Linked DNA regions of Stegostoma tigrinum. The protein of the gene in region 2 interacts with the protein of the main gene of each other region in a pairwise test. Links are inferred from orthologs where the notes say so. Each region holds a gene or a part of one and is shown on either strand. Other genes may lie near its edges. The genes, in order: flncb, myoz1a and E3 ubiquitin-protein ligase TRIM63-like.

Region 1 (11,526 bases), on a different chromosome or scaffold from region 2:
TGATCAACCAAGCCTGCACATCCCTGGACATAATGGGCAGTTTAGCATGGCCATTCCACCCAACCTGCACATCTTTTGACTGTGGGAGGAAATAGGACATTTGGAAGAAACCCACACAAACACAGGAGAAAATGCAAACTCCACACAGATAGTTGGCCAAGGGTGGAATCAAACCCAGGGACCAAGTGCTAACCACTGAGCCACCATACTCCCCATTAAGTCTGTTCCACCATTCAACATGATCATGGCCAAGCTGAACATAACTCCACTTCCCTGCATTTTCCCCACAACTCTCATTTCCCTGGCCAATTTAAAATCCATGTCAGCCTTGAAAATACTTAGGTAACCAAGCCTCAGCAGCCCTCTGCAGTAAACAATTCCACAGATTTGACTACCTACAAGACATTCTTCTTAATATGTCATAAGTGGAAGGTAATGGCCTAGTGGTATGATCACTGGACTGTTAATCCAGAGACCCAGATAATGTTGTGGGGACCTGAGTTTGAATCCCACTGTAGCAGACAATAGAATTTGAATTCAATGAATATCTGGAATTAAAGGAACTGATGATGACTGTGAATCCGTTGTCAATTGTTGGAAAGAACCCCAGCTGGTTCACTAAATGTCCTTTAGGGAAGGAAGCTGCCATTCTTACTTCGTTTGGCCTACATGTGATCCAGACCCATAGCAATGTGATTGACTCTGAATTGCCCTCTGGACAATTAGGGATGGGCAGTAAATGCTGCCTAGCCAGTGACACCCTCATCCCATAAATAAATAAAAGGAAAACAAAAGGATTAGGCCCACTGGTCTTGGACTCCCACATGGGAGAACAACCTTGCCATATCTACACAAGTCTTAATAAAAGGTCTCATCTCATTCTAAGCCCCAGGGAGTATAGATTCCATTTACTCAACTTATAAGAAAATCCCTTCATACCTGGAATCAACTTAGACAACCTTCTCTGAACCATCCAATGTCAGTATATCTTAATTTAGATTTAAAAGGGTAGCAAAATTATTTATAAGGCAGCTTCATATCAACAGTAGATACACTGTCAGGCTCTCAACCGTAGCTATGCTAAGGGAACTCAGTCATTCGGCATCACGTGGGATTAAAGCTCCTCAGTTCCTGTGTTGGGACCTCCTCTCTCTGCTACTTCAGAGTGGGAAGGTTTGCAAGAGACTTAATCTCTCTCACAAAAGGATGCCTGTTGGAATCATAGAATTATTAAATTCTGACAATGTGGAGGCAGGCCATTCGGCTCATTGAGTCCACATTGACCCTCTAAACAGCATCCTACCCAGATCCACCCCACCACTGTATCCCTGTAACCTGACATTTCCTATGGCTAACCCACCTAAACCGCACATCCCTGGACACTGGGCAATTTAGCATGGCCAATCTACCTAACCTGCACTTCTTTGGGCTGAGGGAAGAATTCCATGCAGACAGACACAGGGAGAAAGTGCAAACTCCACAGTCATCAGAAGGTGGAATTGAGCTCTGTTCCCTCTCGCTGGTGAAGCAGCAGTGCAAACCACTGAGCTACTGTGCTGCCATTTTGAGGGTGGGGGCAGGGGGTGTATTGTTTGAAAGAGGGGCGTGAGGTAGTAGGGGTTTCCTGGGGAAAAACATTTTTCTCTCCCCAATGTAGTTGGCATATAGGAGAGATAAGTTATCTGCAAATAAAAAAACAACAGAAACTCTAATGTACTAGTGCAGATTCAGCCTGGTAGTTATCAAAGTTTCCCACTCTATACTCAAACTGCTGCAGTGAACCAGTCACACCCTGGGGAGATTTGGGTATTTGACAGCACAGCATGGTTTGGATCCAGCAGTCAGACAAATGAGCACTGGGACAGGAAGGGAGCAGTGCGACATCGCGAGCTGTCAGACTCCAAGGTTATCACTGACACATTCCAGCCAGCTGCACGGGTAGCTGTATATAGCTCCTGAGCTCAGTTCATGGAGGAGGGGGATGGATAGCAGCTTGGGACCAGCGTGACTTTGCAAACGTGTGGGGAATATTCTGGAAGGGTAAAGCACAGAACCACTGTTGGGTAACCAATCACCTCAGGGTCAGGATAGCCTGGATGCTACTAGGCAGAATGATTCTCAGACTCAAATTTTTTGTTTTTGGGGGGGGGGGGGGGGGGGGGGCAGGCAGAAACTGAGACCCAATTCATTCATCATGTTGGATCAATTTTATTTTAAGACAGAGGTTGATACATTTTACTGGATTGATGGAACAGACTCAGAGCTGAAAGGCCCATTGCCATTCAGGGACACCAAGGCAATTTGAGACACCCAAGGTTAAAATGAGCCACTCGATTCAACCAGAGGCTTAAGCATCGGTCCCTCTCCTTTTGTGGTCATAACTCTCACTTTGTAAATTAAGAAGTTGCGAGTTCAAGTCTGACTTCAGGGACTTGGCAATGTACAAAATAAATACAAGATTCATCCATCTATCAAGGCAGCTGGATTTAGACATTCATGTTCACTGAACACTTTTCTCAAAGTGTCCTGTGGGTATACAGCAAAACTTGAACTGTAGCTTTCTGATAGAGCTTGATCTGCCTGGCAATTTCCACCTTGTCTACAATGAAGTTACTGACTTTGTCCAACAATCTAGTGCACTGACTAAATTAAAACACTGCCTGCTTAATTCTGAGCTCTCACAGCAAGCAGCAAGAAACAGTCCCCCCCACTACCATTCTGACATTTTCACTGTTACAAATTAAACTGACAAGCAGGCAGGCAGCCATGTTCACTGCTGCACAAACTTACTTTTGTACAGCACATTTAACATAAGACACTTTACAAGAGAAGTTACTACAAAAATCAACAGGGAACTGAGTGTGGAAATATTCAGCCCACATGACCAAAAGTCTGAAGCAGTAACTTAAGAGATAGGGCTAAAATTCCAGCAACCAGGGTTTGTATAGTTCAAGGCATATTCCCCAATGGTTATAGGATTAAAATAGTACAAAGATTTCTGATGGCTTGCAGGAGACCATGGATTGAAATCAAGGGTGAGAACTTTGGTGGGATGAGTGGCCAGTGGAGATCAGCAAGCACAGGGATTTTTGTTTTTGAGTCGGGGGGGGGGGGGGGGGGGGGGCATGTAGTGGCAGCAGCAAGAGTGAGTTAGGACACAGGCAGAGTTTCAGACAAGCTGCAGTGTATGGCAAGCGGAAGGAAGGAAGGCTGGCCCAGTGATCATGGAAATACTTTGATTCTAGAGGTAACACTGCCATGAATGAGGGTTCCAGCAGCAGATGAGCCAAGGTAGAGACTGGCAAACTGACAAGGGGTGGAAGTGGGCACCTTAGTGATTAAGGGGATGTGGAAATCTGACATTTCACTCAGTCAACTGTTCTTAGCTCTGCTGTCCTAATCTGTTTCAGCCACCAATCAATGCCAGAAATTAGGAACTTCTTCCTCCCCCCCCCCCCAACTAACAGAAGCTCCTGTGATCACAGAGGCTGTGCCAATTTCTACAAATCTCTACTTCTGCACCTGTTAAAATTAACAACTGCAGGACACTCACACCCTGTCACTCATACACTTAAACCAATGATCTCAGATGATAGTATTGTACTGAGCTGTACTGGTCCTTCAACTGAAATGTTAGCCAGGGGCCCATGGTTCAGCTTGGGTGCACAAAACCCAATGAGTGAAGGTTAAGAAATTCTTCCAGTGTCATGGTTAACATTTTTCCCTCTACCAATGTCACAAATACTGAAAGACTTGCATTTCTAATCACTGTCCTCACATCTTCAGTGCAGCCCAACTCACTTCATATTAATTAATTCCTTCTGCTGTATAGTCCCATTTATTCAGAAATACTGCAGGAATTTACACAGCAAGATTCCATAGACAGCAGTAACCAGACTCTGCCTTATTTATAAATATTAGTCAGGCTATGCTCTTCTTCCCATACATAGCAGCATATGAGCTTTTACATCCATCCAAGTGCATAGACAGGGTCTGATCTGAAAGACAGCACCCACACCAGGGCAGGGCAGCATACAGCACACTCCCAAGTGGGTCAGTTTGGAGTTTGGGCTCAGGCCTCTGCAGTCAGACTCAGACACACTTTCTGACTCAGTGTTGAAGAGAATCATCTCATTGCCATTTGTGGGAATCTTGCTGCGGGTTTAATAGCTGTTCCCTTCACCTATAAGTCACTGCCAAGAATTAGTTGCAGCTCCAGCACCGCTGGGCCATATTGAGATATGTGACAAGGTTCTGTATAAAATAGAAAAGTTAGACTTCAAGTCAGCGTAATATTCACAGAATCGTAGCGCCGACGGCTATTTGGTCCATCGTGACTGTACGAGCTTTTACAAAAAACTACCCACATAAATCACACTTTGTTGGTGTTTCCTTGTGAGGCACCTAACTTTCCCACACAAACCATTCGCTTTCCTGCGGAACCTTAAAATAATTGAATTTGCTTCCACAAGCCTCAGTGACCGAGAAATAACAACCCGCTCTCCAACAAGCTCGCCGTCACTTCGGGAGAAGTTCAGCATTAACCATGCCGCCGCTCCTTCCAGAGGCTGGCGAGCGCGGCTTACTGACGCTCTTGGCAAAAAAAAACATGTGAATTTTAAACGTCTTTACAATAATATATTTTATTGTCGGAAGAAAAAAGGAAAACTAGCCCATGGGTTTAAAACTCAATAGCGGTGGATCTCAGTGAGGAGCCGAGCCAGAGGCGGGGAAAGAGGGGACTGGGACTGGAATTACACCCCCCCCCCCCCCGCCTCACCCGGGACTGCCCTTCCCGGGGGGAAGAAGCAGGGAACGGGAGAAAAGGCGGGGGGCGGGGGAAGGAAGGGGGAGAAAAGGCGGGAGGGGGAATAAAGGGGAAAAGGGAGGGGGAATAAAGGGGAAAAGGGAGGGGGAATAAAGGGGAAAAGGGAGGGGGAATAAAGGGGAAAAGGGAGGGGGAATAAAGGGGAAAAGGGAGGGGGAATAAAGGGGAAAAGGGAGGGGGAATAAAGGGGAAAAGGGAGGGGGAATAAAGGGGAAAAGGGAGGGGGAAGGAGTTGTTCTTACCGATGGAGACCAGTTTAATCCTCTCTCTTTCCAGGAACTCCAGCGCCACAGACACATTCTCCAGCTTCATCTGGCGAAAGTTGGGCCGCGAGTGGTACTTCCTGTACATCTTCTTCTGGCTGAGCACCTCCAACAATCCGATCAACTTCAGGCCATCGCTCAGGTCCTTCTGCAGGTCCCCGATCCTCTTGTTCACACACTTGAGGTGCTCGTTACACCAGCGGGTGAACGTGTTCTGCTGGATCTTCTTCCAAGGAGCGTCCTCCGCCAGGTCTTTCTCAGTAGCCGGCATCTCCCCGTCCTCCTGGCCATTGGCCGCCGCCTCTTGCTGCTCCATCGTCCGCCTCCGGGAAACTTCTTCTCCGGACTCTACAGAGTGGGTCTCGCCGCGGTAACTCCCCCCTCCTGCTCACTCCCGGTTCCGGTCCTCTCTCTTTCTCACTTCCACCCTCTCCGCCCGGCTACCAGCCGCCGAATGGCCGCGCTGGTGGCCCCGCCGCACTTTTTAATGAGTGACGGCTGCTCCGGGCCCACGTCAGAGAGCAGGCTCGCCAGGAATCCCGAGGCCATGGCCGTATAAAAACTCCAGAGCCAGGTCATGCTGCTCGTCATAGCCGCTGACTGCAGCCTTCCGTTAGCACCTCAAAGCATCGAGGATAGCAATGGGTTAACCCAGCCTCCTCTCTCCACTCAATGGGTTAATAACAGCCTGAGTTGAACCCCACTCTGGGTGCATTCTCCATTCAATGGGTTAACTCTAGAGCTCAGTTTAACTCCACCCAGGGTCTGACCTGTCTCCTCTCGCCACCATTCAATGAGCTAACTGGAGCAAATCATGTTGAACCAACTTGCTGGCTTCCCCCACTTTCCACCCCCATCCCTCCGAAAGGGATAACACCGAGAGGTAATGCTGTTGGTGTCAATAACATGGACTTCCAAAAGGCATTTGATACCGTGCTGCATGGAGAGACTTGTGAGCAAAGTTAGACCTCCGATTTAAAAGGCACAGTAGCAAGTGGATAGGAAGTTGGCCGAGTGACAGAATACAGAGAGTAGTGGCTAATGGAATAAAAAATCAGAAAATACTGGAAGAACTCAGCAGGTCTGGCAGCGTCCACGGAGAAAGCAGTTCACATTTTGAATCCATTGACTTAGAACTCAGCGGAGTCAAAACATTCACTCCGCTTTTCCCTCCACAGAGTCTGGGAGATCTGCTGAGCTTCTCTAGTACTTTCTGTTTTTATTTCAGATATCCAGCATCTGCAATACTTCAAATTTAGTGTTTGATGAAGTTTTTTCTGAGAAGGGTTTATAGTGGGTCAGTGTTGAGAGCCTTGTTTTACCTGATCTATATTCATTATGTGGTTCAGAACAGAATTTTGAAACTTGTGGCTGATAGATTCGCTCCAAGTTTTCTAAATTGTGAGGAGGACAATGTGAAACTGCAAAGAATGTAGATAAGTTGGTGATGTGAGCAGATATGTAGCAGCTGAAATTCAATGTGGAGAAGAGTGAGGAGATTCATTTTGGAAGAATGCAAAATATAAGGGTACTACTCCAAAGGGGATGCAAGAATGGAAGGAATTAGGGGTATAAGTAATCAAAAGTGGCAGACCACGTTGAGATCAATTAACAAGGCATACAGTATCCTAGGCTTGAGTAGTGCTGGTGTAGAGTCCAACAGCAAGGTTATCTTAAACCTGCATTAAACACTGTCTCAGCCCCAACTTGAGTACTGTTCAATTCCATTTTAGGTACCCCACTTTAGAAAATTTGTGAAGGCTTTAATAAGAGTGCAAAAATATGCTTATGATTGGTTCCACAGATGAGGAACTTCAGCTACATAGGTATGCTGGAGAAATTGGGAACTGTTCACCTTGAAGCTTGAGATGAAACTCGATTGAAGTATTCAAAATCCTGAGGGGTCTACGTGGAGTTAACCAGGTAGGAAAAGGTGTTTCTACTGGTTGAACAATCAAGACTGAAAGATATAATTTAAGGTAATTGGCAAAATAATCAAAGGAAACATGGGGAGAAGATGTGGAATGCAGCAAGTGGTTAAGATCTGGCATGCGCTGCCTGAGAACGTGGTGGATTGATGCACTCAATAGTATGTTGGGTTTTTACTTGAAAAGAGAACTTGTGCAGGGTTATCACAAAAATGCAGGAAATGGCACTAGGTGCATTGTTCAGAGAGTCAGGACAGGCATGTCACTCCTGTCATGTTACAATTCTGTGAACTCACCAGTCTGGGTTAACCTGCATCCTTCCCAGTGTAAGCAATGACAGGGTGGGGGGGGGGGGGCGGTGTGGTGGGGGAATCCCTGTCGGTGTATTCAATGTGCCAACTGTCTAGAGGTTGGGTAAATACCCTCTCCTTTCCCAACTGCATTCACTGCATTAATACATTTTTGTCTTTCACATCAGCCACTGTGCACCCCCCAATTCCATTTGTACCCCTATCCTCCCACTCCTAAAAACGACTGGATTCCAGAAACAGAAAGTGAGTAGGAGTTACCGGAGAGCAGTCCCAGCCTTACTGAGCTCAGCTGCTATTTCTGAATATCCTAGGGTCAGTGTTAGAATGACAGAAGTTCATTTTTATACATTTATTCCTGCCCCTTCCCAGGAATAGCTGTACACATGTTCTCATTGATCGAATATAGCATGAGGCATCATTGCCAGGGGCCAGGCATCATCACTCAGCAATGTAGCAACTCACTATTGAAAGCTTCAGGGACGCTGCATGAAAGTAATTAAATCTGTTTTTCTCCATATCTTAAAGGTGCCTCACTGGTCAGTCAGCCTCTGAATTAGTTGTGTGAGCTGTGTGTGACATTCCTCATAGACCAATGTTGAGATATCCAGTCATCGCCTTTGCCCCTCTGGCTCCCGATCAGTGCCTAAACCACATATCCAGTGACAGACCCAATTAAATGCTACATTTCCAAGCCAGCTAATTCTTTTTACTTAGACTAATATCCAAATGAGGCTCTGATCTCTCATTCTCACTCATACTGCTTTCTTTTTCTCCCCTGCGTTGGACTTTCAGAGTGAAAATGTTGTTGGTGGCAGGCTGACTCCCCTGATATTGTTGGGGTAAATTTCCTGACATCAGGGTGAAATACCTTGATATTATCTGTGTGATTGTCTTGTCATCACTCATGTGCATTAGAGGGTGAATTTCAAATTCATTTCTTATTACTATAAAGGATAGGGCTAATGAGTGGCTTAATTGTTTTTCGTCACGATTTGTCAAAAAAAAACACGAATATTTTGAAAATGTATCACTTTGAAATATATATTTAATAGTAAACCATTGATAAGCAAAATACATTCCACCGATTACAGCCCCAGCAATAAATGAACAAAGAATATTATTTGACAACATGGGAAGTATCGCAGGCAGACATTGCTGAGGACCCAGGATTGCCCAGTACATCATTTCACCATTTCTGGGTGGGGAAGAGGGAGGGGTTTAAGGAGACAAGGATGCCCAGGAATCCCATTTTGAGAAATTAGAAGTGGTTTGGGAAGGAGGAGTGCTGGACTCCCCAGAAACCATCTCTAGGGTTGGTCACGACTTGCTGAGACCCTCATCTCAGGAGTGAAGGTACATTTGTGGGGATGTGGTAACAAGTCTCCCCCATGTTGGGGGCAGGACAGGGGTCAGATTTCCCCCAGACCCCATCCCTAGTGGAGCCCAGGACTCTTCGTGGCCTCATCTTTTTTGAGGTGCTTGACTGCCAGGAAATTTTTCTCACAAATGCAGCGTACAAATTTTTATTTGTAATTGAAAGCATGGTCTCAGTGAAGCAACAAAGGAGAGACTACAGAACTCAACTGGCCAAGAGAGGCAAAAACATGGTATAAAGCCCATACCAGAGTTCAAACCAGAGGAAAAGGAAAACACAGATTTGAAAGGAAGGCAATTCAGTGCTGGGCCACCACTCAGTCTCCTTGTTTCTCTTTCACTCCAATCTACACTCAGAGCAGTTAGCAGTATGCCAATGTTTGAGTGACAAGGACAGCATTAACTATACACACTGGTACAATACAGAGTCTCATTTTACAATATTTTACAAAAAATGATATTTCTTACTTGATGATCAATGAAATTATTTGCAAGAATATTCACAGAGCATTTTTACTGACAAATAGACAGTAGCTGGGTGAGTCAGTCATCAGACAGCAAAGAATGATTATGGTCTCTCTGTTTTCTCCTTCAGATCTACAACTCTCCGTGTGCTCTCCCTTTCTCTAAATCTGGTCTCACACACAGCCCCCGTTTCCATCAGTCTACCAATGGTGACTGTGCCTTCAGTCTCAGACCAAGGCTTTGGAATTCTCTCCCTAAACCTCTGCATCTCTCCACTTCCCTGTCCTTAATACACTCTTTGAAAGTTAGCTTTTAGTCATCTTCCTAAATTGTTCTTCATGTGACTCATTCTCAAGTATTTGTCTGCTAAGCCTGCTGCAAAGTACCTTTAGATATTTAACTGTGTCCAAGGCAATATAAGTTCAAACTGTTGTTGTCCGCATAGAATTTGGGGTTAACTCTCTATCTTCACATTTCAAGCTTTCTTTAAGTTTAGGTTTCTGAAAACAAAACAGAACTCCTAATGAACAAAACAGGCTATTTAATAGGATTGGGTATCTCTTCTCTGTTTCATTGGGAATCAAAAAGCTTAGACTTTCAAACCACACAGTGTTAGGGAAATTCACAGCATAGAACAAGACCACTTAGCTCAATGCATCTGAGTTAGCTCATTAAAACAATCCCAGACATATTCCAATATATGCTCTCTCCCTGTAGTTCTATGTCAATCCCAAACTTTACCACATGTTCTCCCCATAGCCCCATATCCATCCAAACTATCCTGTTACCTGTCTCCCTGTAACCATACCTCAAACTCCCTGCCTTACACTCTCAGGTAGGCCTGACTCTATCCCAAACTCCCTGTCACATGCTCTCACCATAGCCCCATATCCATCCCAAAATAGTACCACTGATCTACACTCTGCCCCAGAGCCTTCTATCAGTCCCAATCTAATGTCACTACCTCCTATAGTTCTGTATCAATTCCAACTAATTCCACTCCACTTTCTTCCCATAGACCTGTATCAGTCACAAACTAATTCGATTGACCCGCTCTTTCCCTATAACACTGGAAAAACTAATCTGAATGCTGCATTCACTTCCCAAAACTCGATATGAAACCCAAGTAAAAACCTCCAAGCCCACTTACTTTCTCCAGCTCAAAATTAGTCCCAAACCGATCTCTTTCTCTCTCTATGACCTGTATCAATCCCAAATTAATCCCACAACTCAATTCTCACCTAAAATCTGTAACAATCCCAATATAGTTCCATTACCTACTCATTCCTCGTAGCCTCCTATCAATTCCAAGCTAATCTAACTGCCACAGTATTTCATTATCGCTCTTCATCTAAAACAGCCCCTGCCCTTCTTACATTATCAATTGTAAACCACCCCAACTGCCCCTTTCTGTCCCTGTATCCCTGTACAAATCCAACTAATTCCAATGCTGCATCTTCTCCCCATTGCTCTGTATAAGTCGCAAACAAATCCAACTGCACCACTCTCTCAATAAAAACCAAAAGAACTGCGGAGGCTGTAAATCAGGGACAAAAACAAAGTTGCTGGAAAAGCTCAGCAGGTAAGGCAGCATCTGTGGAGGAGAAAACAGGGTTAACGTTTCAGGTCAGAACTGAGGAAGGGTCACCAGACCCGAAACGCTAACTCTGTTTTCTTCTCCATAGATGCTGCCAGACCTGCTGAGCTTTTCCAGCAACTTTGTTTTTGCACCACTCTCTCCATTGACTTTGGTAGCAATCCCAATACATCCCACTGCATCATTTTCTCCTCCAAGCCCTATCTCAGTTTCAAACTATTCTCTTTACCTGCTCTGTCCCAGACTCCTACATCTATCCTGAACTAAACCCCTTGCCTCACCCTGGTGCATCTGATGTCCAGGGATTATTTTGAGTGTGATCCACAAAACACGAGTGTGCAGGAGCTGATGAAAATTTAATCAGAGAAGGGACACACCAAGATGGAATATCAGCTCACTTCCCCCCCAGATGCTGAGGTAATGGATACTTTCAGAGCTTATGTGATTGGAGAGTCACTGAGAGATTTATCAAGCTACTTCTTGCATTTGGAAACAGGGATGGGTGCTCTTGACGGATGTGAAGATCATGGCATTCAACCTTGGGAAGAGACACAAGATTAATTGTAGCATTGCCAAGCACTCACTACAGACACCACACGTGCTTTGTTCTGCCATCTAAAATTCCCCGATTGGGCAGGTTCTTAGTCACAAGGTAGTGGCAGATTTAATGGCATTAATTCCTGTAACTGGGTCTGCCCACCCGAGCGTAAAGTAGCAGCAGAGGCAGGTAATGGATCAAGGAACTGTCTCCCCGTACGTT
Region 2 (10,970 bases):
TATGAATAAATTATTTAAAAGTTCTTCGATGTCACAAGTAAGGTACCAAAATGCTTAATTCTAATATATTGTGTAGACAGTTGATTTAATTGCAGACTTCAACACACTGTCTAATACATTACTGCGGAAACAAGCACTATGATAATGTCTATTATCACTACATTTCTCATCTCCACAGTCATCTTTGAGAAATCTACAATTTATTCCTTTAATTCCCATTGCATATCTATTTCTACTTTCAAAACTTCAACTGATCTTTTGAGCTTACAATCACACTTGCACAAAGTCGTCACTGTGAAGAAGTTTCTTAAGTCTACTTTTGATTGTTTTGGGCTTGATTGGGATGCTGAGGTTCCAGGCTACTTAATTTGATGTGAGACTATGATCAGAGAAGGGAATGGAATCAGTACCAACAGTATTCCAGCAGGGAGGCGATGGTCTAGTGGTACTTTCAATGGACCGTTAATCTAGAGGTCCAAATAATGTTCTGGGTACACAGGTTCAAATCCTGCCATGGCAAATGGTGGAATTTGAATTCAATCAAACATCTGGAATTAAGGGTCTAATGATGATCATGAATCCATTGTTGATTGTTGGTAAAACCCATCTGGTTCACTAATTCAGAAGGAAGCTGCCATCCTTACCTGATCTGGCCTACATGTGACTCCAAACCCACAGCAATGTGGTTGACTCTAAACTGCCCTCTGGGCAATTAGGAATGGGCAATAAATGCAGCCTGGTCAGCAATGCCCTCACCCCATGAATAAATAAAGTATAAAGCACTTGCCAAAAGTAATGGTTTTGGTCTCAGCTGGCATAATTGGATAAAACTGAGCCCATCAAAACTACGAGATAACAAAGTATGGAGTTGGATGAACACAGCAGGCCAAGCAGTATCTTAGGAGCACTAAGATACTGCTTGGCCTGCTGTATTCATCCAGCTCTACACTTTGTTATCTCCCATCAAGACTATGTTGGACAAGCAACCTGATAAATAATAGTACTGGATGTTCAAGAAAGCTGATAGAGAGGTAGAACTTTTGAAAGTGAGCCATGGCTCCTGAAATCATTATCAAGTTACAGCATTGGATGAAGCAGTATCATAAGGAAAGAATGAATATTGATGAGCTTCAAAGTTAACGATGCAGGATCAGAACAGAAACATTATTGTAGATGTTTTGGCAACAGTATACAATTAATAGGATTACCATATACTGCTAGTTCCACAGAAATTGACAGAAGTGGAGAGTAGAGGTTTTAGTTGAAATATCAAAGAAATAGAGATATCAAGGAGCAAAAAAACAGAAGTTTCTGAAAAAGTTCAGTAGGTATAGCAACACTTGTGAAGGAAAATGTTTTGGTCCAGTGACCTTTGCTCAGAGCTCCCCAGTTCTGAGGATCACTGGACCCAAAATGTTAACTCTGATTTTTCTTCATCAATAATGCTAGATTTGCTGAGCTTTTCCAAAAACTTCTGTTTTCGTTCCTGGTTCACAGCATCCACAGTTCTTTTGTTTTTTATTGAGATATCGAGGAAGTTGAGGGATAAAGTACTATAAAGTACTAGCCAATGTCATCCATGTCTTAGTTTGGTTGTCTCACTACTGTGAGAGTAATAGAATTTGAGAAATACAAACAGGGAATTGCACAAAAATCCCACAGATTTCAGACAGAAATGTATATTTAAAGACTTTGATAAGCAAATGGAAGTTGGAGCTTAGATAGTCGTTTTCAGGAAGACAGGAATTGCAAAAATATTTTGTGAGCTAAAAGGCGATAACATTTTGGAAATGGACTGAACCCATTACTAGAACATCTAGCATGGGGAACTGAGTAGTCAGCAGTTTATTGGGAATAGGATCAAGAGAACAGAAGATGAATCTCATGATGATGTGAGATAAAATGGGAATATTGGGGAAATGGAAAAGACTCTGGGGAGAAGAGAGGGAAACAGAGATTGTGACGAAGGCCCAGGAGTGAGAGAAATAATTCTGAAGCAAGATTCGGTTTGGTGAAGAGGGAGAAAAGGGAGAAAGCAGTAGAGGCGACTGAGTAGTTGGTATTTATCTTGGTGAAAATAAAGTCCAAGAAGTTCACATGCTTCTAGTTTGAGCTGAGATCTAAATGGCTAAGGTCAGGGGGTTTGTTGACAAGGAGAGAAACAGGAGTTTCTTTCCTCTCTCCCAGATAATCCAGTTGGAGCGATCAATTTTGGCAGAGGAACGTGTGGCTCAATATGACTTATGTGGTGAAGCCTGATCTGGAAATGAAGGGCTAAGTTGATTGTGTATGAGATACATTGGATTCTGTGCTCCTTGGACTTAAGGGAATAAAGGTGACAGGCAAGCCATGGACAGTGACTGGTATGAGAAATGGTAAATGTTTTCGGAGGAGGAGGTGAGGTGATGAGCTGCTATGCTCATGGTGCTGATGTAATTGGTGATGTGATGTAGCCATTGCAATGCAGTTCAGGATGAAAAGGAAACATTTGAATTTGTGGCTTCTGAAACTGAATTACTGAAGTAGCACACGTGTGTCAATTATATATAAATTGCTAGTAAATCTGTGGAAAGGAATTTGTATGTTGACCTGAAGTGACCAATATTGGATATGAAATGGGTTGTAATGCATACCATCGAATCTGTGTTAAAGACATCAGGATTTGATTCATAGATGAACCTTTCGACCCTGCGTTGCCTCTCTTTAAACATCAGGGATCCTTTATTCTTCAATAGTGACAGTTCCTCCAACATCACATCCCTTGGGATGCTGATTTTCTTCCCAAGGTTAATCTCGGTTCCGGCTTTGACAGAGAATGGTAAACACAACAAACATGAAAGATGTTAAGGCTTGGGACAGGAGAGTGGAACACACATTTGGCCTTGTGCCTTTTTGGGACTTTAGTCTGAAATATATCGATGGAGCTATAAAAGTGCTGCAAATGGCGAGACGCTGCTAACCTGTGGTCAATAAATCAATCACACACCATCTTCAGCTGTTACTACTGTCAGCAGCTTCTCCGAATTAAAGTGCACTCCTGTCATCTGAGAAGGCATACCTGGTTCTCCACAAATGTTGTAAAATTACAAGCTACTGAGAAAATGTGCAGAAATAAATCAATCAAACAGCATCTCTAACTTTTTTAATTAGCAGGTTAAAGAACTGAATAGCATGACAGAGTATTTTATAATTGGGTGTGTTGACTCATAGCCAAAAGGGTTGTCTTAAATAGAAAAGACAGGCTGAACAACACGGGTAAAATATGGGGCTTGTTGTCAAGTAGTTTGGGATTTTGAAAACCTTAAACCCAAGGAAATAGCACTCAGCAATTCTAATATTTTCCGAAGGAGTCCCCGTTTCTCACTTGAATTTGTTACAAAGTAGTTACAAATAAATATATACTGCAGACGAAATGACAATGTAATCTAGTAAGTGCTTTCAGTTATCTGGAAGGGGCCAGTGTTTTTTTTTAGGGAAAGCTACATTTGTCGCCTTGAGTGTGATGTTATAAATGCAGGACCTTACCATCCTTCAATGTTTTTGGAATTATTCTGGTTGTCCTTTTCTTCTTGGTTGGGGCAGGAGTTCCAGCTAGTGGCATCGTGGCTGGGGTCAGTCCTTTCTTCTTGCTGAACAATGAGTTAGGAAAAAAAAGCACACATCGATAGTGACATTGTACCAAAGAAATGGATCAGGACGTTCATTCATTAGTAATTCTGGAAAAGACAATCAAACGCTTGTCACTGGAAATAGTTAGGTTCAATGAGCTTAAATGCACAATATCTATTGCTTTAAGGTGGAGTTACAATGCAACAGTAAATGCCCTGTTAGCTCTTGATTCTGATCTCATATTGTACAGCATGCACAAACCTCACAAATATTTCAAACCAGCCTGTGAAAGAAGGTGGGAAAAATATTCATACATGCTTCATTCTTCTCATTTGCAATAGCGTGATCATTCCACAACTCTAATAATGTTCTGCTGGAACAAGCATCCCTGACAGTTTCCCTGATGCTTGAAAACTATATAAAACTGAATCAGAGCTTCAGAGAGCTTGATTCAGTGAGCTTAAATGATAAAAACAACCACAAACTTGTTTGATGTGTTACCACTGATAATGCAGCTGTTTACAATAACTTACCGTTAAATTTTCAACTGAGTCCTACTGGAATATCTGGTTGCTGGTTGCAGTTTCAGGTCAGAATTTTCTAAATCAAAATGAGCTAAGATGAAGTTTTGCGAAGAAAGGACGGAGCAGGACTTGTGTCTGCACAGCACCAAGTGCTGATGCAAAGTGCAGTGAATTTGATTCCAAATGCAATGTGCATCATTGAGATAAATATAGTATTGAAACAGGGAGCTCAGATAGCAGTGAGACAAGATAAAACCATGTGTGTAAGCAATCTTCAAACTTAAGGTTCTAACCAACTGCTCTGAGGGAAACGGAAACAAGCTGTGAAATTGAATAAAGACAAACTATCAATCGCAGGTAATCTCAACACACCAGTCACCTTCAGGGATTCTGAGATTTGTCAGATCTTCTACTTAATTTACAGGAGAAAATCTGGTGGTTTGTGTTTGTTGGCATGGGTCATTAAAGCCAGCAAGGTTTACAGGTTTGATCCCTATCCAGGTTTTATTTTGTTTGTTTCCAGCATGTGGGCCTCACTGGGTGGGCCAGCATCTATTACCCATCCTTTGAGCTACTTTCTTGAACCGCTGCAGTGCATGTGATGTAGGTAGACTCATGGTCCTATTAGAGTGGGAGTTCCAGGATTTTAACCTAGAAATGGTGATAGATTTCCAAGTTGGGATGGTGTGTGACTTGGAGGGGAAGTTGCAGGTAGTGATTTCCAGTATCTGCTCCCCTTGTCATCCCCTTGTAGTAGAGGTTGTGGATTTAGAAGATGCTGTTAGAGGAGCCGTGGTGAGCAACTGCAAAGCTTCTTGTAGATAGTATAGACTGCTGTTCTTGTACATAAGTGGTGAAGGGAGAAAACATTAGGGTGGTGCGTGTAGTGCCAGTCAAGCAGCTGCCTTATCCAACATGCTGTCGAGCTTCTTGTGTGTTGTTGGAGCTGGACTCATCCAGACAAATGAGGAGTATTCCATCACACTCCTGACTTGTGCTTTGTAGATGGTCCATAGCAGACTCAGGAGGTAATTCACTTGCTACCAATTTCCTAGCCTCTGACCTGGTCTTGTAGCCACAGCATTTCCACAACTAGTCCAGGTTTGTTTCTGGTCCATGGTAACCCTCATGATGTTGGTATGAGGGGATTCAGCAATAGAAATGCCATTGAACATGAAGAGTGGTGAGTATACTATTGTAATTAGCCTAAATGCCTTCAGTTGAGGGAAGTGTGAATTGAACATAGTTTTTATTGACTGGTGTTCAATGGATGGTTTGAATGGGGATTGAGGTGGCACCTGGCTGTCCTGTAAGAACAGTAACAATTTGCTGAACTCACTGTTGAGTTTCAAAATGTTATGAATGGATGAGGTAAAAGGTGAGTACAGTTACTTAACAAATTGCAGGGGTGTTTTTGCATTCCCATGCTACCATATGTGAGAATCAGGGTTTAATCATAGAATCATCATAGAATCCCTGTGGTGTGGAAACAGGCCTTTCGGCCTAACCAGTCTACATGACCCCTCCGAAGATCATCTCACCCAGACCCATTCCCCTACCCTTGCATTTCCCATGTCTAACCCACCTAACCTAAACATCCCTGGCCACTATGGGCAATGTGGCATGGCCAATCCACCTACCCTGCACATCTATTGACAATTTCTAATATTTCTGATCATTTGCCCTGCCGAACATAAAGTCACGGGATTGTCCAACATTTAAACCTATCATTTGCACTTCTTCAAGTCTGCAAGATTTCTTTCAAAAACTTCACTTTCATGGTCTTTCATTAAGAAACTGTGGAGTCAAATTTATCCTAGAGGGAAACTGCCGCAATGATTTCTGTTCTCATACCACACCATTACCTATAGAATCCCTGTGATTTTTATCCTTGTCCCGCCTTGTATCAATTTCTCTTCAACCATGTCATTGAAAGATAATGACATAAGGCTTCTTGTGTAAAATACTGACACCCAGCTCTCACCAGCACCATATCTCATGACCCTTCTATTGCTTCTATGTTGCTGGAGACCTTGTCTGAAAGGTAGTCATGGATAAGAGTCAATATCATTCAATTTAACATTGAATCCATTCCCCTTCCTGCTTTGTGTCTCAGATTGAGAGGTTTTGTCCACAACCTATGCATGTTCATTAGGATCCTGAGCTAAACTTGGATTCTATTATTCTCTCCATCACAAAGACTGACTATTTTCACCTTCACAACATTGCCTATTGCTGCCTTTGTCTGAGCTCACATGATGCTGAATCCCTGATCTATGCTGTTGGCACATCAGAACCTTAATATTCCAATGCATTCCTGATCTGATTTTCAACCAGCCTAAAATTCAGCTTTCCCAAAGCCCTGCTCCCCATATTCTAATTACTACAAAGTCTCAATCAACCATTATCTTTATGCCTACTGATTTATATTGACTATTCATCAGTCAATGCCTTGATTTTTAAAAATCTAATCCTTGTTTTGAAATCCCTCCTTGTTCTTTCCTTCTTCATCACTGTAATATTCTACATCCCTAAAATCCTCTGAGATCCCTGTGCTTCTCCAAATCTGTTTTTGGCTGATTAGTCAGTGTTAAAATCACATTATTAATGGAATGTTGCTGTTGTTGGAAGCATAAAAGGGATGAGAGTGCATCAGCAGGCCACTTACTTTCGCTGGAAAATGTAATTGAACTAGTTTGTAAAGTTTGGGCTGGATGTGAATCGGATAGATGTAAATGAGGCAGAATTTCATGCTCAATAAACTCCTTTTACTTCTGCAGTGTTCGTAAATTCTCTGTAGCCCCGAATTGCCCTTACTGATACTGATCCAGTGTTTTTTTTAAAGCTGTCAGCTGGTCCCAAACAATTCCCTTTTCTGGCAGTTGACTAGCTTAAAAAATAAAGGCTAATAGCACTGTTAAAATGGCATCTTTGTAAATACACAACCAAAGCAAATATGACCTATTGTCAAATCCTGTGTGGAGAATGAATCAAGTTTCATTGTCTTGATATTTGAAGAAGTAGTGAAATAAGGGCAGTGCGATAAACAAAATATCTCGCAAATCACAACCGAGTGAATGCTGACAATTACTGAAACACCAATGCTGTAACACATCAGTCTTGAATGGAATTGAAGCCTGGACAGTGAGTCTATAATTTGTTTCCAGCATGTCTATGTACAGTGTAACATTTAAATATTGTGATCTTCAAAAAACATAGCAGTTGCATACAGTGTGAGTTGAGCAACAACTAAATAGTTTTTAGATGCTGTGATGCTCCCATCATTATAGAGTAATACAACACAAGAAATCTTTCAACTCATCATGTTCATGTCAGCTCTTTGCAAGAGTCATCCAATTAGTTCAGTTTCCCTGATCTCTCCTGATGAACAGAGGAGCGATCAGACAAGAAAGTGGGGACAAGAAACTGCTCTAGTCTCACTGGATGGCACAGCAAGCTCAAGGTACTGTATGTTCCCATTCCATATGTTCTTATGTAAGTATTTCCCTTAAGTATTTATCCAAACCACTTTTGAAAGTTGTTAGTGCATCTGTTTTCACTATCCATTTCTCCCTTGACCCCTGCTAAGTATTCCTCTGTTGCTAAAATTCAGGGCTGTTGTAAAAGATAATAATGTATATGATAAACATTTGTCCATTCTTATAAACGTTCCAGGAAAAATTAATTGTGCTTCTGTCTGCATCATGTGTCTTTGGATGCAAAATGTCTTCTAAGTTACAATGATATAGTGTATTTTCTTAACTGAATATCAGGAAAATTTTATTTTGAAATGGCTCCCTATTGCTTTCTGTACTCAATAACATACCAAACATATGGAACTATAGATCTGTGAGTCTGACTTTGGTGGTGGGTAAGTTGTTGGAAGTGATTCGGAAAGTTGGAATTTATATGTATTTGGAGAAGCAAAGAATTTCAGGGAGAATGCACATGGTTTTGTGCAAGGGAAATTGTGTCTCACAATCCTGTTTAAGATTTTTGATGAAGTAACCAAGAAGATTGATGAGGGCAGAGTAGTAGACATTGTTTACTTGGACTTTAGTAAAGCCTTTGACAAGGTTCCACATGGTACACAAATTAGTAAAGTTACATCACATGGGATTCAGGGTGAGCTTACCAATTTGATACAAAATTGACTTTATAGCAGGAGACAGATATGATGGTGAAGGGTTGTTTTTTGGACTGGATGCCTGTGGCCAGTTGTATTCCATAGAGGTTGGTGCTGGGTCCACTTTTGTTTGACATTCATATAAGTGTTTTAGATGACAATATAGAAGGCATAGTTAGTGCGTTTGCGAATGACACCAAAATTGGTAGTCTTTTAGACAGAGAAGAAGGTTTTCTAAGATTACAAAGAGATCTTGATCAATTTCAGATGGAGTTTAATTTGGATAAATGTGAGGTATTGCATTTATGTAAAACAAATATGGGGAAAGACTTATACAATTAAAAGTAGGGCCTTTGGTAGTGTGTTAGAAAAGAGGCTCAGTGGTTCAGGTACATAATTCTTTGAAATTTCCATCAAACATAAATTGAGTGGTTAAGAAGGTGTTTAGCACGCTTGTCTTCAATGCTCAGGCCATTGAGGGTAGCAGTTGGGATGTCATGTTGAGGTTGTACAGGACACTGGTGGCCTTTTCCGGAATACCGCTTCCAGTTCTGGTTGTCCAGTTATAGGAAGGATATTTTGAAGCTGAAGTGGGTTCAGAAGAGATTTAGCTGGACATTGCTGGGAATGGAGGATTTGAGTTATAAGGAGAGGCTGGGACTTTTTTCAGTAGAGCATAGGAGTTTGAGGGGTGATCTTATTTAGGTTTATAAAATCATGAAGGACATAGATAAGGTGAGTGGCAGGTGTCTTTTCCCGCCGGAGGGACATTTCAAGACTAGGGAGCATACTTTTAAGGCAAGAGGAGACAGATTTTTAAAAGATATGAGGGGCAGTTTTTTTTACATAGAGAGTGGCTCATGTGTGGAATGAACTTCAGAGGAAGTGGATAGCTGTGGGTACGGTTACAACATTTAAAAGACACTTAGATAAGTACATGAATAAAAAACCAAGCGGAGGCTTGGGGACCGCTTTGCAGAACACCTCAGCTCGGTTCACAATAAACAACTGCACCTCCCAGTCGCGAACCATTTTAACTCCCCCTCCCATTCCTTAGACGACATGTCCATCATGGGCCTCCTGCACTGCCACAATGATGCCACCCGAAGGTTGCAGGAACAGCAATTTATATTCCGCTTGGGAACCCTGCAGCCCAATGGTATCAAGCTTCACAAGCTTCAAAATCTACCCCCTCTCCACCGCATCCCAAAACCAGCCCAGTTCGTCCCCTCCCCCCACTGCATCCCAAAACCAGAATTTCTATCCCCGCCTCCCTAACCTGTTCTTCCTCTCACCTACTTCCCTCCTCCCACCTCAAGCCGCACCTCCATTTCCCACCTACTAACCTCATCCCGCCTCCTTGACCTGTCCGTCCTCCCTGAGCTGACCTATCCCCTCCCCACCTATACTTTCCTCTCCACCTATCTTCTCCTCTATCCATCTTTGGTCCACCTGTCCCTCTCTCCCTATTTATTCCAGAACCCTCTCCCCATCCCTCTCTCTGATGAAGGGTCTAGGCCTGAAACGTCAGCTTTTGTGCTCCTGAGATGCTGCTTGGCCTGCTGTGTTCATCCAGCTCCACACTTTGTTATCATGAATAAGAAATGTTTGGAGGGATATGCACCAAGCGCATAAAGTTATGACTAGTTTAGTTTGGGATAATAGTTGGTGTGGACTGGTTGGACCATAGGGTCTGTTTCTGTGCACTGTGGCTCTACATATTCCAAATCATGTTTTCTAAATTTCTCAAATCATAGCTTTTGAATTGTTTCATTAGACTTGATACTCAACACTACTCTTAAAGACCCCATTGAGTTTTTAGATCAATTACTATAAGTTCAGAATGTGCATTTTATGAGACAGGAATACAATCTTCCAGCCTTTTCAAATTTCCAAAAGTATGTTGCAATTTAGACATTTGCATTGAAGAGACAGCTGGCTACTTTTAAAACTTCATGTTGAGTTATTCAACTTATAAAGTGATGGGGGCATGGAGTCAGTGCAACATAATTCCCCTCATTGTCCATAGGACTGGGAATTAAGAGGAATCGAGTGGTGGGTGCTTGTGCTGCCATTAAGGAGATCTGCATTTTATATCAGATAATCATTATTTGTGTTCTTAAACATTATAATTGTGTGATTCTTTTATTAGTAAATGTTTAAGTTTTATGTTAACAGTTGCCTATAATTATGCTATGAATTATAGTTACTTTCTGTATTTCTGTTATCATCACAATTTGGAACCTGCTGCCGTAACATTTTTCATTAAACCACATTCTCTCCATCTAGATTAGATTCCCTACAGTGTGCAAACAGGCCCGTCAGCCCAACAAGTCCACACCACCCCTTGAAGCATCCCACCCAGACCCAGTCCCCATAATTCACACACCCCTGAACACTATGGGCAATTTAGCATGGCCGATCCACCCAGCCTATTCTTTCTATTCCAATTACCATCTTACTACACCAGTCCACTTGTGCAAACAAGGCTGGGTTTAGCTGGTTTATGGATTATTGTACTCTCCAATTTATCACAAGCAATGTCATAGAATATCCTAGATAATAAAATGTGAGGCTGGATGAGCACAGCAGGCCCAGCAGCATCTCAGGAGCACAAAAGCTGACGTTTCGGGCCTAGACCCTTCATCAGAGAGGGGGATGGGGTGAGGGCTCTGGAATAAATAGGGAGAGAGGGGGAGGCGGACCGAAGA
Region 3 (10,760 bases), on a different chromosome or scaffold from region 2:
CCTTGACCTGTCCGTCTCCCTGGACTGACCTATCCCCTCCCTACCTCCCCACCTATACTCTCCTCTCCACCTATCTTCTTTTCTCTCCATCTTCGGTCCGCCTCCCGCTCTGTCCCTATTTATTCCAGAACCCTCACCCCATCCTCCTCTCTGATGAAGGGTCTAGGCCCGAAACGTCAGCTTTTGTGCTCCTGAGATGCTGCTTGGCCTGCTGTGTTCATCCAGCTTCACGCTTTGTTATCTTGGATTCTCCAGCATCTGCAGTTCCCATTATCACAGTTAATATGACTTGTCAGCTTTATTGATTTTAAATGATTTGACCCATGCCTGTCCTTCCTTTCGCTTCCTGAACCATTCCTCACCTTTTGCTGTTGAAATACATTCTGCAGGGGAGCCACCTCACAGTCCTTGTGGGCACCAAAGACCTTGCACATTGAGCAGGTGGGAACTTGGCAAGAGATGCAGTAAATGTTGATCTTTTCATCTTCGTGCTCTTCACACATGGGCTGATTGCCTTTCTTTAAGGGTCGGCTGTATGTCAAAGGAGCAGATATACGTTCATCAGTATGTTGTCAATCATAAGGAAATATTAGAGGAACGATGTGAATTACATGGAGTTTGCAGCACAGAAACAGGTTGTTTGCCCATTCTGGCCTCTGGTGGTGTTTATTTTCCATGTGAGCTTTTCCTCACCCCTATTCATTTCAAGCTATCCCTGTCTTCTCCCTTCACCTTATCCACCTTTCCCTTAAATGTATCTTAACGGAAATCTCTAAAGACACACAGTAGATCTGTGCGCATAGAACAAAAATGAAAAGCCAGGTAATTGCACCAAAACATATCCTGTTTCTTTCAGATGCTGATGAACTGTTTGTGCTTTTCCAGATGTTGCTGTTTGGATTTCAGATTTCCAATACTCAGGGCTAGTTGTCTTCAATTCCTATTGAGTGATTGTGCCTGTTTTTGTTTTAGTGATATAAACCGACACCACCCCAAATGCCATTAAGTACCTGTGCATCCTGCACCCAGCAAATGCATGAGGCTTTTGACACAACTAATACAAGAGAGTGAGCTATAACATGATTGGAGGTATATGATTTTGAGGAGGGAGTGGAAGGTATGGGTGGATGTGCTGAGTGGCTGTGGGGTAAAAAGGAAGCTTAAAGACAGCAGGATTAAGAAGTAAGCATCTGCACCAAGTGAGACGTACAAGATGTAACATGGAGGGGAGTCTGGATGTGGTGGAGAAGGTGCATTAAACAGTGAACCCAAATTAGAGGGCAGCAGTAGGTTTGGATGTAAGGCTGGGAGAGTTTTAAAAATTCATTCGCAACCAGTTGACATTGCTGGCTTGATTGTCATTTATTGTCCATCTTCTGTTTGGCCTTAAAAGGGTCATGGTGGTTCCTCATCTTTAACAACTATGGCCTGTGAAGAAAGTGCTCTCACAGTATTGTTCCATAATTTTGATTCACTGATGAAGGAATGGTGATATTTGCCTAAGTCAGAATGAAGTGGATTCAGAAGGGAACTTGCAGGCAATGGAATTCCCATGTGGCTGCTGCCCTTGTCCTTCTGGGGTTCAAGCTACTGAGATGAAAATCCTATCCTCATTGTGCCAGCTCTTCCCTATCACTGGTGATGAAAGCCAATCACTGAATGGTACTTAAACGGTCATAGTTCTTTAAAATTATTTATTCTTGCTGGAGCTGCATTTCAGAGATGATCATTGTTCATAAAATTAAATCTCTTACTATTAGACGTTCTAAAAAATACTGTTTTATATCAACGTATTATGACATTTTTATGTAACTAATTTCATTCATGGCCAAGTGTTTTTTAAAGGCACAGCTCAGCAAAGCTGGGTAGTTACTGACCGACTATTTTTAAACATTTAGAAACAGCTGGACTAAAGAACATTTGTGTCATCGTTACCAGTTGAAACCTTGCCCAGATGACCTTGAGAATATGAATGCGGTGGGAAGTCACTGTAACTTAACATGGGGAGTGAAAAAAAAGTTCTTCAGATGTTGTTTCATCTGATTTTCATCTAAAATATGTACCCTATGGTCAATCGATTCCTTCTTTTCTACCAATAGAATCTGAAATGGAAAAGTAATTTTCCTTTATTTCACATCTTATCCAACCCTCAGTCATTCCCCACAGTGATTGAAACACAAATCATTGCTTTTGAAGGGACACCACTTGTTGCTCCATAGACTAATTAATGTAGCGCAACCTTTGCAGACTCAAAATAATTCAAATTGCAGGTGATGTTTTATATTAGCTGCAAAGTTGTTTTATCCTAATCTACACTGAAAAGTATGATAAAATTCAGAAAACTTTAAAGGCCTTCTGGTTTGTGAAATCAGCATCTATTTCACATCAAAAATCTTACAGTTGCTCCACATACTTTGAACTTTTTATCTTCCTCTGGTCACATTTACAATGTTTATTAAAAATTGGTGCTTATTAAAACTAGTTACACTGTAATTACACCCTCCTACCAGTGAAGGCATTGTAATATTAACATAAATTGAAGGATGTTATTACATAGGATTTTTCAATTCAGAACATAAGATCTTTGCTGGCATTTACACTCATTGTGGGCCTTCTCCCAACTGCCTTCTCCAACCTACTTTCTTGCCATGTCAACAGATCCTTTTATTTGTTTTTCTCCATGATGTATTTATCTAGCTTCCCTTTAAAACCATCTACAATAATCTCCTTCAACCACTTCATATGGAAGCAAGTTTCACTGAGTTAAGAAACTGCTCCTCAATTCTATATCAGTTTGATTAGCTATGTCTTAATTTTGTAACACCCTTGGTTCTGGATTCCCTTACAGGTGGAAACATCTCTATATCTGCTCCATCAAAGGCCTTCATAATCTTCACTGTGAGTTGTTCACGTGGGCAGTTTCCATTAAAGAAGGAAACATATGAACTTGTAACAGAACTGTAGAAGTACACACAATATATAACAAACTGAGCTAGCATCTTTGTAACTCAGTCCAACTGTCCCTGAACTTATTCCCACTTCAACTGAAAAATACAAGATTTGGGTTCTTGATGTGTTCACATGATATCTCAGCAAATACCTCCAGGAGGCATCATTGCAAGCAATGCATAAGACGTATCATAATAATCACTTTCCCAGCCTGGCAAACGTATTTCCATCTTCTCTTCCCATCACCCACCTGTACCTCTGACCCGAACAACAAGCTTGATGCAGAAGATGAAATGGTTCCCCAAGCTAACCTGATTCCCTCTTCCTTGTAGATATCAATGATGTTCTCCACCAGTAGGTTCCTCTGCAGTCCATATACCCCATGACGGTCCAGGATAACTTCATGTCGACAGGATGGGCACCTGAACCTACCTCCAGAAATCATGGTACCTCGACCCTGCCAATATGGATTAGCAGCCTAAAAAAAGCACATACATATATGTATCTAGAAAATGTTTAGCACAAGCTCACAGGTTAGCACTGTACCAAAACTGGATGCAACATTATACCTACTCATCATTTTTAAAAATAATGTCAAAAGATATCACACTTTTTAAAGTTTCTGCTTTAAAAGATTTTCAGAAATACTTACTCACCTAAAGGTTTGTTAAATTTTATATTAAAGAGGTCTCCCTAAGTCTTGAAGATCATTCCTATATTATAACAGTAACTTTACTTGAAAAATATACTTCATTGATCATAAGATGCTTTGGGACAACCTGACATTGTGAGCAGTGTTAATGAATTCAAATTCTGCCTTACATCCTAGCTTTCTAATCTGTCTTTCTTAACTGCCAATAGTGCAGACTGTGCACGGTCCAGGTTCACTTTTAAGTTTATGTTCAACTAGCTGATCTCAGACTTCAGTTGAGTTGCTGCAATTGGCTTCAATGGCCTTGGTCTGAGGAAATGGGGAGAAATTAAACCATGGCTCCCATTGGAGTTAGTGCAGGTGCAAGTGAGGTATGGGGACACAGGAGGGACAGCAAAACTCCAAGTTCTATTTGTATAGCACTCGTGGCATGGTGCAAACATCCCAGGGCATTTCACAGGGGTCATATTAAACAATACTTGACACCAAGCCACCAACTGAGATATTAGGACAGAGGATTGAAGTCAATATCTGTGCCTTACTGCAACCCAGCAAGTGGTCAGAGCTCTCCACAGAAAGTTGGAAAGGAGTTACCCATTTCCAAATGTTACTGTCTTTGAAAGTTTGGAACACTGATAAGAAACCCCAGTTTGCCGAGTTTTGAATGGACACAGCTTAAAAGCACTAACCTGGAATACATCATTGGCACATTTTCTGCACAGATTGTGTTGGCATGGCAGGATCACAACCGGCTTTTCAAACATTTCAAGACAAATCGGGCAGATGAGTTGCTTCTCCAGTGTCTCCATCGTGCTGGATTCTCGGATAATATTCGGCTGGAACTCCATCTCCAAATATAGCAAACACCACTTAAAAACCTGCTGAGTTGCGTTGCCTTTTTCTTCTCCCTGTCACTCTCGTTGCTTTCAGACAAATTCCGTGTTAGTATCCTCTTCAGAAGAGATTCAGTGGAGCTCAGGCGTCGTGATAAGATTACTCCTTGTTCCTTTTCTGTCTGTGCATGACAGCTCGTCCTTTTTATAAAGATTTCCAGTGTCACATGATAGCTGAGGTGGGGGGTGGGGGAACCTAGTCCTCAACATAACTTTTCCCATATTAGAAACTTGCAACGTGAAACTGAGAACAAGCAGGACCCGGAGATGCAGTCACATGTGACACTCAGAAAAACAACTTACACAGAAAGAATAAATAAAAATAAAGTTGCTAAACATTTTATATAACTGCCAATCGATCAAGGTGAGTAGAAAACATCCTGTCCAAAATGCCCAACAAAAACAATTTTGTTTTCACTGTGCATCAAGGGAATTTTGAAAGCGCTTTGACAGGATTTGTAGACAATCGTGAACATTGACAATGAGGGAGGAAGGCATTAGAAAGTTAATGTAGGGCTTGGTTATCTGGATACTTCTGAAAGCAGGAAAGGAGATTGTGAAGAAGTGCAGTCTTTTGGGGATAGGGATACTCTCAGAGCAGGGGATGTGATGGTGGAAGAGTAGAATGAAGCATCCAGCAGCCAGGAGTGAAATGAAGAATAGGCCTAGCTGGGTTTGCTTGGTGAGTCCAGAAATATTTTAGATGTGGCTGATATTAAAGAAAATACAAATCCTTTCCACTTATCAATTGCAAAGATTCTTCAGCTGTTGAATTTAAAATATCTATTAAGAGCCAACGACATTGACACCCCAAGAATGAAGTTTGTAAAAACCAGCAGATATAAGTCCTGGAGTTTCCTCCACATATTTGCCCAGCTGCCTGAAAAGTGTTCAAGCCAATCTAACGGCTTAAAAATTGGACATGTGAGTCATGAGCATAACTAGAATAACATTCTGATTTTCCTCAATGTTAATAACCACGGAAACTGTCCAAACAGGTTTCCACCCACACCACTGGAGACAACCCCCTACAACCCCAACTCTCAATTACAAGTAACTCGATTGTCCTTGTTTACAAATCTCACCAGGACATCTCGTGGTACCATCACAATCTCAGCCACTGGACCAGAATGACTGGGTGTCAATCCCACTGCAGGTTTTAATGGCCAAGAAAGGTATATTCATAATGGCCAAATATGCTGAGATCAATTGACAAAATCCTTCCAACATGAGCCAGTGATGGCGTTTAAGGAAAGGAGATATTCCTGATCAGCCATGTGATAGAACGAATATCGGACGCTATGCCATCACAACCTACAATTCTGACTGCAACACACATTTTAAAATTTATTTACTTATGGGACATGGGCATTGCTGGCTGGCCAGCATTTATGGTGGTGAACAATTAAACAACTCACAGGAGGAGGACACTCTACAAGTATCCCCATTCTCAGTGAAGGAAGAAGCCTGACACATCATTGCAAGAGATAAGGCTGAAGCATCCACAGCAATCTTCAGCCAGAAGTAATGAATGGATGATTCATTTTGGCCTCCTCCAGTGGTTCCCCAGCATTATAGATACCAGTCTTCAGTCAATTCAGTTCACTCCACATGATATCAAGAAAGGAATAGAGACACTGGATACTACAAATGTATGGGACCTGACAAATTCTGGCAGTAATACTGAGGATTTATGCTACAGAACTTGCTGCTCCCCTCACCAAGCCATCCCATTATAGTTACAAAACTGGTATCCACTCAACAATGTGGAAAATTGCCCACATATATCCTGTACACAAAAAGCCAGACAAATCCAACCCAGCCAAATACCACCCCATCATTCTAGTCTCCATTACTAGTAAAGTGATGGAAGCTGTCATCAACAATGCTATTCAGCATCACCTGCTCGCCAATAACCTGCTCACGAACACTCAGTTTGGGCTCCACCAGGGCCACTCAGCTCCTGATCTCATTACAACCTCAGTTCAAACATGCACAAAAGAGCTGGATTCCAGAGGTAAAGTGAGAGTGACAGCCTTGACATCAAAGCTGCAATGTAGCATCAAGGAGCCTTAGCAAAACTGGAATCAATGGATTCACACTGTCACATGGGAAGATCGTTCTGATTTTTGGAGGGTATCTCAGCTCCAGGACATCTCGGCAGGAGTTTCTCAGGGCAAAATCCTAGGCCCAACCATCTTCAGCTGCTTGGTCAACAACCTCCCCTCCATCATAAGAATGTTCACTAGCGATTGAACGATGTTCAGTACAATTGCTACTCCACAGATATTGTAGCAGATCATGTTCAAGAATGATTCATGCCACATAAGTGCCAGGCTATGATCATCACCAATCTAACAACCAACCCCTTGACATTCAATGGTGTTACCATCATTGTATCCCCACTGTCAGCATCCTGGGGCTTATCATTGACCAAAAACACTGCTGGACTCACCGCTTAAACACTGTGGCTACAACAACAAGTTAGAGGTTAGGTATACTGCAGTGAGTAACTCATCTCCTCAATCCCCAACGCTGCCACATTCTACACCATCACTTGCAAATTCCTTTCTAAGCCAGTCACTATCCTAGATCAAAGCCCTGGAATTCCCTTTTTAAGGGTATTGTGGGTTCTACCTACTTCACACGGTCTGCAGTGGTTCACTGCAGAACCACCTTCTCAAGGGAAATTAGGGAATGGCAATAATTTTTCTTATTCATTTGTGGGATGTGGGTGTCGCTGGCTGGACAGCATTTATTGCCCATCCCTAGTTACTCTTGAGAAGGTGGTAGTGAGCTGCCTTCTTGAACAACTGTAGTCCACCTGCTCTGGATTGACCCACATTTCCATTTTGGAGGGAATTCAGGGAATGCAGTGAAGGAACGGCAATATGTTTCCAAGTCAGTATCATGAGTGGCTTTGAAGGGAGCTTGTATCTGCTGTCTAGTCCTTCTAGATAAAAGTGGTTGTGGGTTTGGAAGGTGCTACCTAAGGATGTTTGGTGAATTTCTGCTGTGCACCTTGTAGATGGTACCCACTGTTTTACTGAGCATCTGCGGTAGTGGGAGTCAATGCCTGTAGATATGGGGCTAATCAAATGGATTGCTTTGTCCTAAATGGTGTCAGGCTACTTGAATGTTGTTGGAGCCACACCCTTCCAGGCAACTGTGGAGTATTCCATCACACATCTGACCTGTGCTTTGTAGATGTGGGCAGGCTTTGGGAGCCAGGAAGCGACTTATTAATCACAGTATTCATAACCTCTGACCTCCGCTTGGAGCCACTGTGGTTTTGTGGTGATTTCAGCTGAATTTCTGTTCAGTGATAACCCCCAGGATCTTGATAGTAAGGGATTCAGTAATGGTAACACCATTGAATATCAAGAAACGGTGGTTAGATTATCTCATATTGGAGATGGTCATTGCCTGGCATTTGTGCAGACTGAAAGTTACTTATCACTTGTTGTCCAGATCTTTTTGGATTTGAAAATGGACTGCTTCAGTATCTGAGGATTCGCGAATGGTGCTGAACATTATGCAATCATCAGCGAACATCCCCACTCTGATTCCACGATGCTGGGTAGGTAATTGATGAAGCAGCTGAAGGTGGTTGGGGTCAGAACTCAATCCTGAGGAGCTCCTGAAGATTTGTCCTGGAGCTGAAATGACTGAACCTCTAATAACCACAACCATGTGTACTATATGACTGTAATCTGTGAAGGGTTTGCCACCAACTCACATTAATACTAGTTTTACACGTAAAAATGCAGTTGCCACTGCGATTCACTCCTTGAGTGAACGATAACACACTCAAACATCGCACCACATGACAACCAGACTTTTAAGTGCAGCAGGAAAGAAAGATTTCTTTTTTTCCGCTGCTCTTTTAATGTTTAAAAATTTATTCATTCTTAGGAGGAGATTGCTCCTGGTGAGTACAACATTTGTTGCCTATCCCTAATTATCCTTGAGATGATGCAGTGAGCTGCAGTCCTGCAAAGACTTTCCAAGATTGTGAATCAGCAAAATGAAGAAACAATCAGGGTAGTCAGTGTAACTGTTGCTGTTCCACTGTCTGCTGCCTTTGAACTTCCAGGTGAAAGGGATTCCAGGTTTGAAATGTGTTGTTGAAGGAAAATTGCAGTTAAGGATTTTTAAAAAATATATTCTCACTGAGAACAACTCTGAATGAACTAATCTTTGAATGGCTTTTTCTGGAACAGTGTAAGTCACATTAAAAATTTCTCCACTAATCTGGAATGGCAGAGCGGGCTCTAGGGACTGAATGGTCAACTGCTCCTCTTTTGTGTCTGGTTGTGCATCGTACATGAATGGCGGTTAGTTGAGATTAATCTTTTAATTTTAAACTCAGAGAAGTAAAATACACCTTCCACCCCAACCTCAAGTTCACCTGGGCCATCTCCAACACATCCCTCACCTTCCTGGACCTCTCAGTCTCCATCTCAGGCAACCAGCTTGTAACTGATGTCCATTTCAAGCCCACCGACTCCCACAGCTACCTAGAATACACCTCCTCCCACCCACCCTCCTGCAAAAATTCCATCCCCTATTCCCAATTCCTCCGCCTCCGCCGCATCTGCTCCCACGATGAGGCATTCCACTCCCACACATCCCAGATGTCCAAGTTCTTCAAAGACCGCACCTATCCCCCCACAGTGGTTGAGAATGCCCTTGACCGCGTCTCCCGCATTTCCCACAACACATCCCTCACACCCCGCCCCCGCCACAACCGCCCCCAGAGGATCCCCCTCGTTCTCACACACCACCCCACCAACCTCTGGATACAACGCATCATCCTCCGACACTTCTGCCATCTACAATCCAACCCCACCACCCAAGACATTTTTCCATCCCCACCCTTGTCTGCTTTCCGGAGACACCACTCTCTCTGTGACTCCCTTGTTCGCTCCACACTGCCTCCAACCCCACCACACCCGGCACCTTCCCCGCAACCGCAGGAAGTGCTACACTTGCCCCCACACCTCCTCCCTCACCCCTATCCCAGGCCCCAAGATGAATTTCCATATTAAGCAGATGTATACTGTATCCGTTGTACCTGGTGTGGCTTCCTCTACATTGGGGAAACCAAGCAGAGGCTTGGGGACCGCTTTGCAGAACACCTCCGTTCGGTTCACAATAAACAATTGCACCTCCCAGTCGCGAACCATTTCAACTCCCCCTCCCCATGTCCATCATGGGCCTCCTGCAGTGCCACAATGATGCCACCAGAAGGTTGCATGAACAGCAACCCATATTCTGCTTGGGAACCCTGCAGCCCAATGGTATCAATGTGGACTTCACCAGCATCAAAATCTCCCCTTCCCCCACCGCATCCCAAAATCTGCCCAGTTCGTCCCCTCCCCCCACTGCATCCCAAAACCAGCCCAGCCTGTCTCTGCCTCCCTAACCTGTTCTTCCTCTCACCCATCCCTTCCTCCCACCCCAAGCCGCACCTCCATTTCCTACCTACTAACCTCATCCCACCTCCTTGACCTGTCCGTCTTCCCTGGACTGACCTATCCCCTCCCTACCTCCCCACCTATACTCTCCTCTCCACCTATCCTCTTTTCCCTCCGTCTTCGGTCCGCCTCCCCCTCTCTCCCTATTTATTCTAGAACCCTCACCCCATCCCCCTCTCTGATGAGGGGTCTAGGCCCGAAACGTCAGCTTTTGTGCTCCTGAGATGCTGCTTGGCCTGCTGTGTTCGTCCAGCTTCACACTTTATTATCGAAGTAAAATGAATTGTGAAGTTTGGCATTCTTCTTGAGCCGTGAATGTATACGCTGATTTTCACACATTTAAATTTCAGAGTATCCTAATGAGATCGGAACAACTTTTAGGCATAACTTGACATTGCCAAAGTAGCCATAATTTAGGGGACAACATGCATATCACATCCAAAAAAAGTACTCCAAATTGTGATAATGTGAACTGATGAAGTTGAAAGTTTCTCAAAGCAAGCAAGCCACTATCCAGTCCTTTAGCTGTGGTGAAATGTAAAATATGCTGTTGTATAGTGGCAGGAGTATTCCACTGGGTAATGTGCAGCTTATTATTTTGTTTTGAATGTGGATTAGTCTGTCATATGTCCCTTTAAAACCATGTAATTCAATGATTAGCTTTTAAGATCAATGTAATGTTCCTTCTGTCTAAAATGTGCTGGGTAAACGGATGAATAATAATTGTTGCTTGGCAGTGAATGAATCAGTTTCCATCTTATATTTGTTCTCATTTTTAACATTGTT

Evidence for each region.
Region 1: the proteins of myoz1a (region 2) and flncb interact in a two-hybrid assay, tested with the Homo sapiens proteins (2 studies listed by BioGRID and IntAct). The link is inferred for Stegostoma tigrinum from reciprocal best matches to the Homo sapiens genes MYOZ1 and FLNC.
Region 3: the proteins of myoz1a (region 2) and E3 ubiquitin-protein ligase TRIM63-like interact in a two-hybrid assay, tested with the Homo sapiens proteins (2 studies listed by BioGRID and IntAct). The link is inferred for Stegostoma tigrinum from reciprocal best matches to the Homo sapiens genes MYOZ1 and TRIM63.

Annotation. Positions count from the first base shown.
Region 1 is NC_081378.1:21,509,225-21,520,750, forward strand, and holds the start of flncb (filamin-C), read right to left. Parts: upstream 5,570-11,526; 5' UTR 5,408-5,569; coding exon 5,071-5,407; intron 1-5,070.
Region 2 is NC_081390.1:26,563,861-26,574,830, forward strand, and holds the start of myoz1a (myozenin-1a), read right to left. Parts: upstream 4,309-10,970; 5' UTR 4,143-4,308; intron 3,630-4,142; 5' UTR 3,602-3,629; coding exon 3,526-3,601; intron 2,804-3,525; coding exon 2,634-2,803; intron 22-2,633; exon of another isoform or gene 1-21. UniProt on the Homo sapiens protein: Myozenins may serve as intracellular binding proteins involved in linking Z-disk proteins such as alpha-actinin, gamma-filamin, TCAP/telethonin, LDB3/ZASP and localizing calcineurin signaling to the sarcomere.
Region 3 is NC_081377.1:30,187,988-30,198,747, forward strand, and holds the start of E3 ubiquitin-protein ligase TRIM63-like, read right to left. Parts: upstream 4,600-10,760; 5' UTR 4,450-4,599; coding exon 4,291-4,449; intron 3,428-4,290; coding exon 3,261-3,427; intron 532-3,260; coding exon 363-531; intron 1-362. UniProt on the Homo sapiens protein: E3 ubiquitin ligase. Mediates the ubiquitination and subsequent proteasomal degradation of CKM, GMEB1 and HIBADH.